2 linked regions of the Pelodiscus sinensis genome follow. The protein of the gene in region 2 binds, or shares a complex with, the protein of the main gene of each other region. Links are inferred from orthologs where the notes say so. Each region holds a gene or a part of one and is shown on either strand. Other genes may lie near its edges.

Region 1 (7,689 bases), on a different chromosome or scaffold from region 2:
TGCGGTGGGGCGCGTCGTAGGCGGGCGGCGAGATGTAGGGTGGGGGCCGCAGTTCGTTGGGCTTGCGGCTGCTCTGCTCCACCCGGAGCCGCCTCAGCATGTGGGTCTCGTAGCTGGGGGGCCCAGCCGGGAGTGGCCCCCTGGTGTCCCCTGCCAGCCGCCGCCTGCCTGGCATGCCTTTCAATGCCGCTTCCCCCAGTCTCTCCGGGGGAGCTGACCAGCCTAGGCCCCTCCCGCCCACAGAGCCGCTGCGGGGCTTTCTCTCCTGGGGGGCGGCCTGGTGCCCTCCTGCTGCTCTGCCCAGCAGCCGCAGGCTCCGGGGGTCACAGCCAGAAGGCGGCTGGGGCTGGGGAGGTGCCTTGCTCCACATGGGGTCCTGGCGCTCGCAGGGCCTCGGGGACCGGGCTGGCCACAGCTCCGCTGCGAACCGCTTCTCCAGGCATCTGCGGGGCAGAGACAGCCGCTCAGGGGATACATCCACACCACCCACTGGCAGCCCGGCTGCAAGGGGGGCTACGGAGAGGCCACTGTGGGGGCAGGGATCCTGCTAACTGGGGCGCCACGCAAGGGTGGAACATGGGTGACCCTGGCACCACCCCCGCCCAGCCTGGCAGACGCCCTGGGGCTTTCCTGGCCCACGGGGCGAGTGGAGGTGCCCTGGCTGAGTCTGTGAAGGGTCTGTAGCGGTCAGGCAAAAGGAAGCGTTGGCCAGCAGTGCAAGGGGGCACCCTGTGTGGCAGGATGTCGGGGAAAGTGGAGATGCAGCCCGACCCACAGCCCCATCCTACCTGAGTCCTGGGCTCCCCCCAGCTATGTCAGTGTCCCCCACTCCTAACTCACAGCCCCAGCTAGACCAGCTCTGGGCTCCCCCCAGCCCTGCCGGTACCCCTCACTCCCGCTCACCCAGTCCTGGGCGCCCCCAGCCCTGCCGGGACCCCTCACCCCTGCCCCGCAGCCCCTGCCAGCCTGGCCCTGCCGGTACCCCTCACCCCCGCTCACCCAGTCCTGGGCGCCCCCAGCCCTGCCAGTACCCCTCACCCGTGCCCCGCAGCCCCTGCCAGCCTGGCCCTGCTGGTACCCCTCAGCCCCGCCCACCCAGTCCTGGCCGCCCCCAGCCCTGCCAGTACCCCTCACCCCTGCCCCGCAGCCCCTGCCAGCCTGGCCCTGCCGGTACCCCTCACCCCCGCCCCACAGCCCCTGCCAGCCCAGTCCTGGGCTCTCCCAACCCTGCTGGTGCCCCTCAGTCACGACCTGCAGCCCCTGCCAGCCCGGCCCTGGGCGCCCCCAGCCCTGCCGGTGCCCCCCCCACTTCCCACCAGGCAAGCATAGGGAAAAGCTTTGCAACATGGTGCCCTCCGCCCCCGCCAGGATGACTGATCTAGCGAGACAGGCCCTGACTCACGCGTACTCCCCCGAGATGCTCCGGTAGATCCAGGGGGTGCCGGGGGCCTGAACAGGCCAGTGCCCTGGGTCCATGGTGCTTCCCTGGCTGCAACAAGAAACTGTGTTAATCTCGAGCACCAGGAGGTCCGTCCGCTTGCAGATCTGCAGGCGCCCAGGGCCTGGTCCCCGCTGCTGCCCGGGGCCCCCCAGCGCCGAGCAGCCCAGCATGGTGCCAGGGGACTTGCTTGTCCGGTCGCAGGGAGCCGGGCGTGCCCACGAGGCAGAGCTGCAAGGAGAGGGAGGGATGGGGGCTGCCTGTGCCCACGGGCTGCTGGTGAGCCTGGGAGCTGAGCGCCAGGGCTGTGTCGGCAAGAGGAGCAGCTCTTTGTGCGGGCGGGTGAGTGCCAGCCTGCCAGCAGCCGGAACAGAGCGTGCACACGGGGAGACAGGCACACGGCACGCAGCGTGCGCACACCCCCGCCCCTCCCCGTGCAGACACACAGCCCTCCAGCAGGGCCTGCAACCCGGCATCAGCCAGGACGCCTGGCACGGCCCCTTCTCCCTCTGCCCTGCAGGCGCCCCGACCCTGAGCTGCCCCCACGTACCTGCCAACAGGCACCTGCTGCAAGCCCAGCCGGGCAGAGCTCAGCGCGTTGATGCGGATGCCTCTACAAGGGACAGTTACCTGCGGCCTGTGACAGCCTCTGGAAGGGGCCCCGCAGACAGGACCCCCAGCCCTGCCGGCACCACATCCCCCCAGCCTGCTGATGGAGGGGGGGGGGGCACTCAGAGGCAAGCCTGCCTAGTGGTTAGAGCCAGGTTCTATTCCCGGCTCTGGGAGGGGGCAGGGGGCTGGGACGCCTCCCTCGGCTAGGGCCAGCACCGCCTGTGCATGGAGGCTGGGAGCTGAGCCTGCCATGGGGGAGTGGCGGCATAAACACCCGGGGGAGGTCGGGGCTCAGACCCACCCCAGGCCTTGCACAGGGACCCCCCCACATCGCCCCAAGAGATGCAACAATCACACAAATTATAAGGTTTGGCACAACGTGCTGCAGCCCACGCGGGCTCGGAGCGAAACCTAGCAACGAGGCGCCGGCATGGCAACCGTCCCGGAGCTGGGCTCCAGCAAGGGATGCACCGAGGGGGCTGGGGGTTGTGCCTCTGGGTAAAGCCGCGGCGCGGGGGCAGGGAGGGGGCAGGGCGGGGCTCTGACCGGCCCCTGCTCAGCACAGCGGCCAGAGCGCCCAGGTGAGCGGGTCGGCTCAGGGCTCCCTCCTGGGCCAGAGCAGGATCTGGGCCCCAGGGCACAGAGGTGCCAGGCTGGGCCTAGTTCTGGAGACGAGGTTGTACCCAAGTAGGGAGCCCCCTGCGCCCATCCCAGCAGCGGCCCCGTGTGCATCACGCCCCGGGCTGGATCAGAGCCGGCACCCTGGGGCGCCCCGGGCACCCTACCTGGCCTTGACGCCAACCCCGGCTGGGTTGCAGGGCCCTGGAGCCGGGCCCTTCGCACTGACGAGCAGGCGGCTCCGGGCCGTGCTCTTAGGCAGCCCCCCGGAGCCTCCCACCCGGCAGGGAATGTGCCTCGCTCAGCACCGCCCGGGGAGGCGCCAGGGCTGTCGGCGCCATGCCAACGGCGGGGGAGCCGGGGACGGAGATGCCAGAGGACTTGGGGGGATCGAAAGCCCCCCCCTGCCTTGAGACCCGTGTTCTCAGCAGGCCTGTTAGCGGCGCTGCCCGGCTTGGCGCTCACTGGAGCTGCAGACCCCTGACCCGCCTCAGCCAGCTGGGTCAGCCCCCCTCGGGAGCTGCAACCCGAGCCTGGCACCCCCCTGCACCCAGCCCCCACCCCAACACCTCCCCCTCTACCCATCAGCCTGCTCCCAGCCCCACCACCCTGCAGTCTGTACCTCACCCCCTGGTGAACCCCACCCTGCAGCCCGGACCCATCACCTGCCCTCCCCACCCCCCTGCAGCCTGTGCCTGGCACTTACCCCCCCACACTCATTCCCTGACTCCCCTCCCACAGCCTGTATCCATCACCTCCCCCCTGCAGTCTGTGCCTGCTACACCCCCCACGCCCTGCAGCCACTCCCTGACCCCCCCCCACACACCCTGCATCGTCCTGCCCTCCACAAGCAGCTAATTAGTTCGTTCTGCTCCCAGCCTTGCCCATCCCCCACCCAGTCGACAGGAGGGTCCAGTCTGGAGGGAGTGGGGGAGACTGGCAGTTGCTGCCCTGGGTGTTGGGGGAGGCGTGGGGGGGAACTGGCCCAGGAGCGGGGTTGCTGGGCCCCAAGGAGGCTCGTGTGAGCAGAGGGACCTAGGTGTCCTGAGCACGAGCCAGGCACTTACCTCCAGCTCATGTTTCTGCCCAAGTGCCCTGGGCCTGCTCTAACCACTAGCTCATGCTCCCTCCCTGCAGCCACCCTCAGCCCCTGATGCCCTGGCCACTTCTCTCCGCCCAGCCGGAGGCTCCCTGCTGAGACAGGGGGATCAGGAGCTGCTGGAGCCCGGCTCTAGCCCCCGCGCCTGGGGGAGGGGTCCGGCAGCCGCTCTGGCTTCCAGCCTTTTTAGAAAACCCACGGGTGGAACAAACAGGGATTTACCGGCTGGACAGTGGCGCAGGCTCAGCAGCGTCCTGTCCCAGGGATGGTTACATGGAGGGGCAGGGAGGAAAGCAAACCCCCCCCCCCCGCCCCCTGCTGGCTGACCCACAGGGCTGGGCCAGAAGGGGCTGCAGCGGAGCTGGGGAGCGGGCACAGGCCAAGCTGGGGAGAGCCTCCTTGGGGGCTGCAGGATTCTGTTCCGCTCCATACAGGGACTTACTCCTCCCGTTCTCAGCTCCCTGCTACCTGAGCACTAGGCCACGTGCCCCCCAGCTGGGCTGGGGGTCTCGCCCGCCCGGGGAGGCAGCACAGACGTGCAGGGCAGGGGCTGTGGGGGTAGGGCTAGGAACCTGCCCCGCCCTGACAGGGACCTCCACCCAGAGCGGGGGATTTCCCTCCCGGACCCAAACAGTCCCCAGGCGGCTGAAGCCCATTGCAGGTCCTGGCTCCAGTGGCCCCGGAGAACCATCGATCCCTGGAGTTGTCGCACCCCCCCAGCTACGCCGCGTCCACGTGAACAGCCTCTGGCCAGTAACCGCTCCTAGACACAGGGCCTGGTTTTTATTAGACTTGCAATAAATGAACAGTGATGGGTGCAGCGGGGGCCGGGGCGGGGGCCCAGACACAAGCCCCTAGACGCTCCTCGCCCCAGAATCCCCACAAGCACTAGCCCAGACCCGCCAACGCCAGGCGGGATGGGTTCCAAACCTGGGCCCGCGAGGAAGAGAGGGAGCCAGGCCCCGGCCCACACCGAGCCAGCTCCGGAGACAGGCTACAAAAATGGTGCTCAGTAAAAACCGCGGGCGCACTCTCTGGGGAAGGTCGTGGCAGATGCCCAGGGGCACCGGCCATGCAGTGCTGCAGGGCAGGAGCTGGCTGAGGACCCACACTGGGGCCGGGAGGAAATAAGGAAACGGATCCAGTTCCCAGATGGGAACGTCGAGGGTCCCGGAGTGCAGAAATGGGAACAGGCCTGGTGCTGGGGGGCAGCTGATCGCAGAGGCTTTCCCTGGCCAGGCAGGAGGGGCTGGCAGCACCACCACCGGGTGCCCGGCCAGGCTCCACCCAGGCGAACGCCCACATGGTGCTGGAAAGGGCTGGGCCCGGCCCTGCCCCATGCCCCGTGGAGGGAGCAACCAAGCCTGCCCCGGAGAAGGGGCTGAGTTTATTGCTGGTTGTTGGCTGGCATGACGCCCCCCCTCCCGCTGGCTGGGGGAGAGGGGGAAGGAGGCAGGCATGATGCTGGTGGAGCCGTGGCAGAGCCAGCAGGTGATGCATGGCTGGGTGGGGGGGCCTGGCCTCCTTGGTCCCTGTTACTCAGGCCCCCACTTCAGCAAGAGTCTCTCTGCAGGCAGCACGGGGCCGCCCTCAGGGCCGGGGGCCTCCCGGGAGCACCAGCGCCTGCAGGATGTCCGAGAGCGAGATGATGCCCTTCACCACTTCCCTCTCGTCCACCACCACCAGCCTGTGGACCTGCGCAGACAGACAGACGGACGGACGTCAGACGGGGCGCTGCAGCCCACGGCTCCCTCCCACGGCAGTGCAGACCCAGAGGCCGGCCGCCCAGCACGGACGCTGCCTTGGGACAGGAAGTGCAGGGAGGAGGCGCTGGGGGCAAACGGGGGACTGGCTAGGACAGTGCAGCTAATGCCACACCCAGCCAGGCCCTCCCCCGGGCTCCCATCCAAGCTGCTGGGCTGTGTCCCTCCCCAGGAGTTACAGGAGGGGCCCTGCGGGCCACGGGGACCCCAGGGGAAAGGAAGGGCCATGAAGGGTCCCAGGGTGGGGGGAGGTTACCTCGGCCTCCACCAGCCGGTTGATGATGGTCTCCAGGGTCTCGTGTCGGTAGCAGGTGCGGACGCCCTCGAAGTACTGCGAGCGATGCCTCAGCGCCTGCGTCACCGTCACGTCCAGGTTGTTGTAGGTCTTCTCGGCCGCCAGGTTCTGGGGGCGGGGCTGGGGGTGAGCCAGGGCAGGGCAAAACCTGCCTGCTCCCCTCACTCTGCCCCACAGAGACCGCGGCACCCCCCCACCCCGTTCCACTGGCCCGTGCAGGCAAGGTGCCCCGAAGGCCCCCCCCAGCCTGCAATCCCTCCTTGTCCCAGCACCCGGCACCCCCCCACCCCGTTCCACTGGCCCACGCAGGCAAGGTGCTCCAAACGCCCCCCCCTTCCCAGCACCTGGCGCCCCCCCCACCCCGTTCCACTGGCCCACGCAGGCAAGGTGCTCCAAACGCCCCCCCTTCCCAGCACCTGGCGCCCCCCCCACCCCGTTCCACTGGCCCACGCAGGCAAGGTGCTCCAAACGCCCCCCCTTCCCAGCACCTGGCGCCCCCCCCACCCCGTTCCACTGGCCCACGCAGGCAAGGTGCTCCAAACGCCCCCCCTTCCCAGCACCTGGCGCCCCCCACCCCGTTCCACTGGCCCACGCAGGCAAGGTGCTCCAAACGCCCCCCCCTTCCCAGCACCTGGCGCCCCCCCCACCCCGTTCCACTGGCCCACGCAGGCAGCGCCCCCTAAGCTCTGCATTGGGGTCAGTACCCGGCTACCCCTGGAGCTCCAGTACTTACAATGACGTCGAACTTGGAGTATATGTCAACCACCCGACCTAAGACAGAGGGGAGACACTGGTTAGATGAGCACAGGCCCCCCTCCCTGCCCCACAGTGGCTGCAGGGTGGGAATCCCTCCCCCTAGCCAGATGGGTCCGTTCCAGCCCTGCGGGCTCTCTGGGGGCTGGGCCTGGTTGTGGGAGCGCAGAGTTGGGGGGGGGGTAAGGGTGTGAAATTGTGGTTAACCAGCGAACTGTGTAGTCGATACAATTGGAGAAGGGCCGCTCTGCGGAGCCGCAGCAGGGTAGCTCTGGCAGCCCCCCGCACCGCAGCTCAGCAGATGCCGGGTCCTTCCTACATTTCAAGTGCAGCGTCCCAGGCTGGAGCGAGCTGGGACTGCTCGGTCCCGGCTCACGCTGAGTGAGCCAGCCCGGGCCGCTGCAAACAGGAGCTGCTGCCGGAGCAGCCTCCCCTCGCCCCCCCGCCCCGGCTGCCTCCGCAGCAGGCGGCACCACGGAGACAGTGCTGGGGGGAACTGGCTTTTAAGCCAGCTCCCCCCCAGCACCATCTCCCGTCCCCAGCCTTGCTGCCTCTGTATGAGAGGCAGCAAGACGGGGAGGAGCGGGGGGGAGCGCGAGTGGTCGAGTACTCCACTCGCGGATACACTCACGTTACTCCACTGCTCTGTGACATCCCTACTATGGGGCCGGGGGCTGGCTGGTGTCTGGGCCAACGTGGGCTGGGACTGACAGCAGTGCAGGTTGCTGGGGATCCAGGTGGCCAGCCGGCACCTCGACGGCGGCTCAATTCCCATGGCGGTCTCCCCACGTTGCCTGGCAGCTCCCGGGAGCCCAGACTGAGCGCCAGGAACGTGCGGGTCCATCATGAGCTTCCCGCGAGGGGCACCTGCAGCCTGAGGAGGGGAGGGACATGGAGCAGCCAGGCAGCCCAACCTGGGGAGCCACGGGAAACCGAGAGCCCTTTGCAAAGTCCTGCTGCAGAGACGGAGCAACGCTCTGGTCTGGGGGTGCGCTCAGGATCGGCATGTTCTTGGGGGGCTCTGGTTCCGCACCGGGGGTGTCTCAGCTTGGCCTGGCCCCCCGGGGGGGGGGGCTCAGCTCAGCACCCCAGGAGAGGCAGAGGACAAGCT
Region 2 (7,784 bases):
AGTAAGTGTTTAGGTTGGAACATAAGTAGATTCTTAAATAAATAAAAAACCACACACCAGGCTTTGGCCAGCAACGTACTCTTTACCATATTAAAGAGATCATAGTATTAAAATAGATGCTGTTATCTAATAATTTCCAAGATAGTCTATTAAAATGGACTATACAAAGCTACACGGTCTGGCACAATTGGGTTTCTAGGTACACTGATGGTATAGCAATAATCAATGGAGTGGCACTGGATAGCACCGAGACAGGGAGCCTTGTTCCTTGGCCTGTCCTACACAGAGCCCTTCCTTTTACGTATGGAAAGAACTTACCTATGAATCATTTTGTTTGCTTGTGTGGCAATAGTCACCTGTTTATCCATGACTTCATACTTCAAACAGATTTTGATAACACTGAATTCCTTTGTTATGAGTAAAAGTGGTAAAAGGGGAAGAGTTACAATGCAATAAATGCCTGCCTACGTACATGCATGCATTTTAATGAACAGTCAGGAATTTTTTTATTTAAAAACAATGGAATAATAAAGGGTTTTCACTGGAAGTTGAATATGTCTAGAAATATTTTTTTAGAAATATTTTTTTTTAAACAACACATCAAAGGCATAAATACAACTTGATAGTGTGCATTACTAGAGAACACTATCCTATTTGAATACACATGTATTTTGAGCTCATTAATCTCCTTGTTCTTTTTTCTCATCCTTCAATGCAATTTTTAATTGCTGCTGATTGTTTTCTGCTATATTACCTAACTCTCTTATAGCACTTTTCATCTATATATAGATCTCAATGTGGATTGCAAAGCGAGATGAGTACTGCTATACCCAATCTAAAAATGATTAACTGAAGCATTAGCCCATAACAAATCAGTGGCAGAATGGCGGACAAAGCCCATACCACCTGACTCCCTCTCCAAGATCCTGTCTAGTGGACTGCACTTCTGTAAACAAGTTTGATCATTCGCTAATGGAGTGAATAGTAGTTTAACATAGGGACACAAGCATTCCTGTTCTGGATCAATCAAGGGGACCGTCCGATCCAATAGCCTTTCTCTGATGCTCTGACGCCAATCCTAGATGCTTCACAGGAAGTTGTAAGAAACTCAACAGTGAACAATAATTGAATATCCAAATATGGATTATTATGGAACCGTCATTCTCACTCATTTTAATCAGTAGGGAGTTTATGCCTTGGAGCTCTGCCTGTCTATCCCCTTTAAAGTTCACTTTTAAATTCTTTTTTAATGGTGGTGCTCTCATTATCTACAAATAGAGGCCTTTTTACTAAAAGCTTTGGCCTCAGTGATATCCAGTGGCAATGAGTTCTGCAGGTTAAACACACTTTGGCTACGTCTACACTGGCCCCTTTTCCGGAAGGGGCATGTAAATTTCACCAGTCGTCGTAGGGAAATCCGCGGGGGATTTAAATATCCCCCGCGGCATTTAAATAAAAATGTCCGCCGCTTTTTTCCGGCTTTTAAAAAAAAAGCCGGAAAAGAGCGTCTACACTGGCCCCGATCCTCCGGAAAAAGCGCCCTTTTCCGGAGGCTCTTATTCCTACTTCCTACTTTTCCGGAGGCTCTTATTCCTACTTCCTACTTTTCCGGAGGCTCTTATTCCTACTTTTTATTTAAATGCCGCGGGGGATATTTAAATCCCCCGCGGATTTCCCTACGACGACTGGTGAAATTTACATGCCCCTTCCGGAAAAGGGGCCAGTGTAGACGTAGCCTTTGTGTATTTAATAAACCTATATTTCCTTTTATCAGTTTTAAAATTCACTGTCTTTAAATTCATTGAATGTCTCCTTGTTTTTCTGTCATCAGCAAAAGAAATAATAGTGACTTATTTACCGTCTGTTATGGGTAATATGAACCTTTCAAGAGCCCAAAGGGCTCTCTCCTGATTAATGTTTCCTCATGCCCCAGTTTTGCCTCATCAAATGAAACGGTAGAGTAGGTAGGACCCAGAGGATGCAGCCAATCAAGGGGAACAGATATTACAGGCAAGCCTGGTAGAAGGTGATGTCTGCTCTACAAAGGAAAAGAAAAATGTATGTGTCTTGCCACCCCCGCTACAATACTTAAAGTCTATACTGCAACACTATTTCAAAATAACTAGCGCTATTTCATAATAACTTAGAGTATGTCTACACTACCCCCCTAGTTCAAACTAAGGGGGGTAATGTAGTCATACGGAGTTGCAAATGAAACCCGGGATTTGAATTTCCCAGGCTTCATTTGCATAAAGCCGGCCGGCGCCATTTTTAAATGCCGGCTAGTTCGGACCCCGTGCCACGCGGCTACACGCACGGACTAGCTAGTTCGGATTAGGCTTCCTAATCCGAACTAGCTGTACACCTCGTTCCACACCTCGTACCTGCTCTTACCCTAGACACCCTGTGCTGAGCCACCTCTCTGGCCCAGTTCAGGGAAGCCCTGCAGTCAGGTTCCCTATGCTTTGATGCTCAATACATCCTTAGGGCTTAACTCCTTCCTGCCAGAACTGTAACCAGGGGACAGGAGGTGACTGGGTTATGTAGGTGGCCAGTGGCAGTTTAGAGGTGTGAACTGCCTTTCTGCACTATGCTGGCAGGAAGGCACAAGCTGCTTCTAGCCACAGAGAAGCAGTGTGTGGGGGGGAGATGACCTGTGAAAAAACATGGGCCAGGTCATCCCTGTCTTCCCTCCCCATTTCCCTTCAGCTGGAAGCAGCTCCCATTCATTCCCTCCTGCACAGGGATGAAAGGCTGCTACTGGTGTGAACTGTGACAGAGGTTTGGGGAGGGGCCTGTGACCCTTCATTTCCTTCCCCCCCCCCCTCCCACATGTTGCCTTGAAAAGAGGTGGATCCATCCTGGCAGCCCAGCCAGTGTATACAGTACTGTGCAGGGAGGCTTGCATCAGGCTGGTTACTCACCCCTATCCCTGTGAATCATAGAATCATAGAGCTGGAAGAGACCTCAGAAGGTCATCAAGTCCAGCCCCCTGCTCTAGGCAGGACCAATTCCAACTAAATCAACCCGGCCAGGGCTTTGTCAAGCCGAGACTTAAACACCTCTAGGGATGGAGACTCCACTACTTCCCTAGATAACCCATTCCAGTGCTTCACCACCCTCCTAGTGAAATAGTTTTTCTTAATATCCAACCTGGACCTCTTCCACCACAACTTGAGACCATTGCTCCTTGTTCTGCCATCTGTCACTACTGAGAACAGCCTCTCTCCATCCTCTTTGGAAGCTCCCTTCAGGAAGTTGAAGGCTGCTATCAAATCTCCCCTCACTCTTCGCTTCTGCAGACTAAACAGACCCAAGTCCCTCAGCCTCTCATCATAAGTCATATGCTCCAGCCCCCTAATCATTTTGGTTGCCCTCCGCTGGACCCTCTCCAATGCGTCCACATCCTTTTTGTAGTGGGGGGCCCAGAACTGGATATAATACTCTAGATGCGGCCTCACCAAAGCCGAATAAAGGGGAAGGATGTCTGTGTCAGAGAGGTTACGGGACTGTGTGTGTCACAGTCAAACCTTACAGATAAGGAGGTAAATAAAAAGATTCCAGCCACACAGCATTTCTTTTTCATAGGAGTGCAGTCAACTTGATGTTAATTTGAACGTGTGTACTGCATAGTTCTGCTTGCCACTGACCTCACTTGAATATGAGTAATTTTACCAGGTGTCCCTTATCCAACATAGGGAAATATGGTCACCTTATATGGTACCACTGATGCTGCTAGAGGAAATGAGTGTGCCCCTGCCTCACTCCACACAAAATGGAAGGAGAGGTAGTAGTGCACTCCTCACCCTCTTAGCCCAATGGTTAGAGCATTTTCCTGGGATGTGAGATCCATTTTGAATCCTTCCCCCTCTGGGATGGGGGGATATTGACCCTGTCTCCCACCTTGCAGGTAATTGCTTTAATCACTGGGCTAAAAGTACAAGCTGGGTATCACTTTGTTTTCCCCTCCACCCCTCCGAATTTTGAATGGACTCAATTCAGTAGGTGGCTTCTGAGCTTGTCAGCTGGATCAAGCCCTACATCCAATTAATTGCTCTGGGGCACAGGCCTGTGGATGCCCAGTCTGCAATACAGGGGAACTTTCACTTTAAAAATGTAGGTGCCAAGTGAGTTTTGGTACCTAAGAGTTCAGTTTATTTATGCAGTGGAGCCAAAATTGCAACTAGGTGACAAAACACCTTGGTGGATCCCGGCCCTTGGGTCTCCTCTGAGCACACTGGCTAAATCCAGCCATTTTAATATGCCACCCAAAGCTTTCTATCTGGAAAAAATAAAAGGAATGGGGTGGGAGGGAATGACCAGGAAACCCATCACCCTAAAGCAAGCACAAGCTGCGGGGTGCCTGAGCGGTGACCTCCTGGACTGGTTGACTGTAGCACTGGGGTAAGGGCTGTGGCTGCTTAAGGCTGCCACGCTGGGCTCCACAAACAACCCCGTGCACGCTCCAGCTCACGGCCATGACTACCTGGGGCCGGTAATTTCCCGGGGAAGGCTCCGCAGAGTCAGGGGCGGGATCCTGCCTCACCTGTGCCCTGTTCTAACCACTAGCCCGCTCTGCCTGGGGCCGCGCTAGCCCGAGACGCCCCCGCCCCTCGCTGCCGGGGAGAGCAGATGGCTCGGGGGGGGCCACCCCGCCCTCCCGGCTGGGCACAGGGGGGCGCCGAGCGACCCAGCCGGCGTCCGGGGCAGGTGCCGCCCGGTGCCCAGCCCCGCGCGCGGCAGAGGGAGGGGCTGCGCTGTGCCCACCCCCGTGCCCTGGATGGGGAGGCGCCTGCCTGCGGTGCGCCCGTGTTTACAGGAGCAGCGGCCGCCGCGCCGGTACCTGCCGCGCCGGAGCACCTGGGGGCGGGCCGGGCGCTCGGGCCGGGGCGGAGCAACACCCCCCGCCCCGCCGCGGCGGTGCCAGGCTGGGCCGGGAGCGGCAGGAGCGGAGCCACCCCCGAGCGGCCGGAGCCGCGCTGGAAATGGAGGCGTGAGGGGAGCCCGCGCCGGGATCTCCGGCTCCCCCGGGCGTAGGATGTGACTCCCGCCGCGTCCTCCTCGCAGCGCCTGGGCGGGTCGCCGCTGCCCCAGGCCCCGGGCCTTGCAAGGGGGGGCCGCCCCCCAGCCCGGCTGCTCCTGCCGGCGCCAGGCGCGGGGCTGGGCGCTGCATGGGGCGGCTCAGGCCGGCCTGGAGAAGATGCCAAGGAAGGAGCTGCCTCTGCCAGCGGGCTGGGAGGAGGCCCGGGACTTCGACGGGAAAGTCTATTACATCGACCACACCAGCCAAAGCACCAGCTGGATCGACCCGCGGGACAGGTATGAGGCCGGACCGGTTGGACGCGCCCGCGCTGCCTGTCGGGGCAGCCAGGCAGGTGCAGGGCGAGAGGCGTTTGCTCCGCCGCGCAGGGCAGGGGCAGCGCCGGAGCACAAAGAGCCTGATGCTAACGAGCACTGGCTCCTTGGACCCCCCCGACGGCTGGCCCGGGAGAGGGCTGGGGGGTGCGTGTGCTCAGCCTCTGTTGCTGCAGTTGCCAGTGGCGCAGACCAAAGAGGCCTCCTGACCAAGATGTGTAACAGCCCCCAGCGCTGGGTGCACGTTTACATTGATTCCCCCCAAACCACTTCTCTTTGCGGAGGGAGCTCTCTCCACTGCATAGGCTATAGCGGCTCGTAACTTCAGCGTTAGGGGGCAAGAGGCTGGACAAAACTACTTTGAATTTTGCTTGAGCCGCACAATCTTTTCTCGGGTCACTGCTAGGTTGGAAGGTGACTCGTACTGACTTTCATAGTGGGGAAACTGCATGTTGCTCTGTAGACCAGAAAGTATTTTCGGGGACTCTTAGTGCTAGTCTGGATAAAGTGTTTAGTAAACAAGTGATTTGATTTTGATTGATGAATAAATGCATCGATCAATTCATAAATATGGTTGGTACCATAATACCTGTTAGGACTAAATTCTCTGTACCTTTCAATGTGTGGGATAAGGATTTAGATTCATAGGTGTGTGTGTTGCTACCTCTGCTGAGGAAAGGCTAATTCACACAGCTGATGTTTAACTGAATAATATCAAGGTCTTACCTGATTCAGTCAGATGTACCCGGAAAGAGGACCTTTACTGTTTCAAATGTTTCCATGCTGTCCCTAGCCTAACTGGAACACCGTCCCATCCCAAGCATGCAATTTGACTCCATTGAGATTATTCAGTTTATTGTTTTTGATGGAAGAGAAGGAGTTCCCCTAACTCTGGCTACTAAGGGCAATCATTATAATGTTCGTTTTTGCCCCCTAAGCCATAAAAAAGTGACTTCTTACATTTTGACTTGTAAGTAGACCACCTGCATTATAATATATTCACAATATAAAGTGTGTCCTGGAAATGTCCTGGTTGCTTTAAGTTTGTCAGATGATCAAGAGTCTGCAGTTTTGGGCCAACTTCTGCAGGTGCAACCTGTCATTATTATATTTGCACTGCTGACACTCAAGATTTGACTTTAGCCTTTTGTTTAGTTGTGTTACACTGCCACTTAGCTTGCCACTGTTTAACAGCTACTTGGTAACCATTAGAATGTTAATGGAAGTGAGAGACATCCCTTGACTGATGTCATGACCTTCTATTTGTCCTGTATGCTATAATGAACCTCTTACTCAGTTCTCTTATGTCTCTATCTTCCCTGTGTTTCCCTTCTAACCTGTTTACAATCCTTGCACTGTCTTTAAAAACTCTTTAAAACATGCTTCTGCCATGTCTAGAAATCATTTCTTTTTGGCATTGGTAGGGAAAGTAGTCAGTTTTGTCACTGTTTTGGTTTCCTCACCCTTCCATCCATCCCTCAAACCTAGACTGTAAATTCTCTGTGGCAGGGACTCTCTTTGTTGCATGATGTTCAGTATCTAGCATGATGGGGTTCTGATCCTTGACTGTGGTTTCTAAGTGGCATTATAAATATTTGGGCAAAGAGTCCTTGTTCTGGCTCTTGTTTCCCATTTCGTTTCACAGAAGAGTCTTGTCCCCTTTGTTACTTCAGGGCTCTTGCAGATCTGACATAGACACTAATCTTCTTATCAAGCATGTTGAAATTATTATTTGGATTGTAGTAACATTCAAAGACTCGAATCACGATTGGGATCAAATTGTGGTGTGCTCTACAAACACCTAGAGACTTTTGGACAGAGACTATGGATCTAAGATCAGTGCTGTAGTATATTAGTGCTGTATTACGACATGTTCTATGTTTTGACCCATCTTTTTAAAACAAAATATCATGACCTAAATTCCTATTAACATTCTCATAGGTCCTACAATTGACTAACTGCTCTGATTCTGTTATTTTCATTCTAACTCATCTGATGAAGTCGAAAGCTCATGATCCAATATATTTTTGTTAGTCTCTGAGGTGCCGCAGAATTTGTTTTTAAATTCCCATCGGATATTCATGGAGTTAGTCATGTCCCATAGTGCTTCTCTGATCATTCTTATATCTCCTTGTATTACTGCTCAGTTTCCTTCTTGACCCACTTTACTTTGAAGTGTGCACTATTATTCTTTTGATCATTATTATAAATTATGCTCAAGATATTAAAAGCATCTGCTGTGAGTCACCATACCAGTTACTTTTTGAATGTTCTGTCAACTTAGGTCTCCTTAAAAAATTGCAGTTAAAATTATCAGCATGTGATCAATTCAGTTTTCTTGCTAATCTGTAGAAATGTCACTGAAACTGTCAATTATACTGTTTCTTTAGGAGATCATGTGAAGAGACAGATTTTTAACACATTTTAAT

Evidence for each region.
Region 1: the proteins of WWC1 (region 2) and DDN are in contact, whole or in part, in a crystal structure (PDB 6J69), measured with the Mus musculus proteins. The link is inferred for Pelodiscus sinensis from reciprocal best matches to the Homo sapiens genes WWC1 and DDN. Residues at the interface, in NP_740749.1 of Mus musculus: Glu13, Glu14, Ala15, Arg16, Asp17, Tyr23, Ile25, Asp26, His27, Arg30, Thr31, Thr32, Ser33, Trp34; in NP_001013763.1 of Mus musculus: Tyr227, Val228, Ala229, Pro230, Pro231, Ser232, Tyr233, His237, Arg238, Thr239.

The regions. Positions count from the first base shown.
Region 1 is NC_134729.1:4,988,760-4,996,448, reverse strand, and holds the start of DDN (dendrin), read right to left. Parts: upstream 3,189-7,689; 5' UTR 2,836-3,188; intron 2,406-2,835; exon of another isoform or gene 1,989-2,405; intron 1,490-1,988; 5' UTR 1,477-1,489; coding exon 1,403-1,476; intron 444-1,402; coding exon 1-443. Other genes in the region: PRKAG1 (5'-AMP-activated protein kinase subunit gamma-1), read right to left, coding at 5,358-5,462, 5,787-5,933, 6,559-6,596. UniProt on the Homo sapiens protein: Promotes apoptosis of kidney glomerular podocytes. Podocytes are highly specialized cells essential to the ultrafiltration of blood, resulting in the extraction of urine and the retention of protein.
Region 2 is NC_134727.1:8,391,476-8,399,259, reverse strand, and holds the start of WWC1 (protein KIBRA), read left to right. Parts: upstream 1-4,778; 5' UTR 4,779-5,200; coding exon 5,201-5,319; intron 5,320-7,784. UniProt on the Homo sapiens protein: Regulator of the Hippo signaling pathway, also known as the Salvador-Warts-Hippo (SWH) pathway.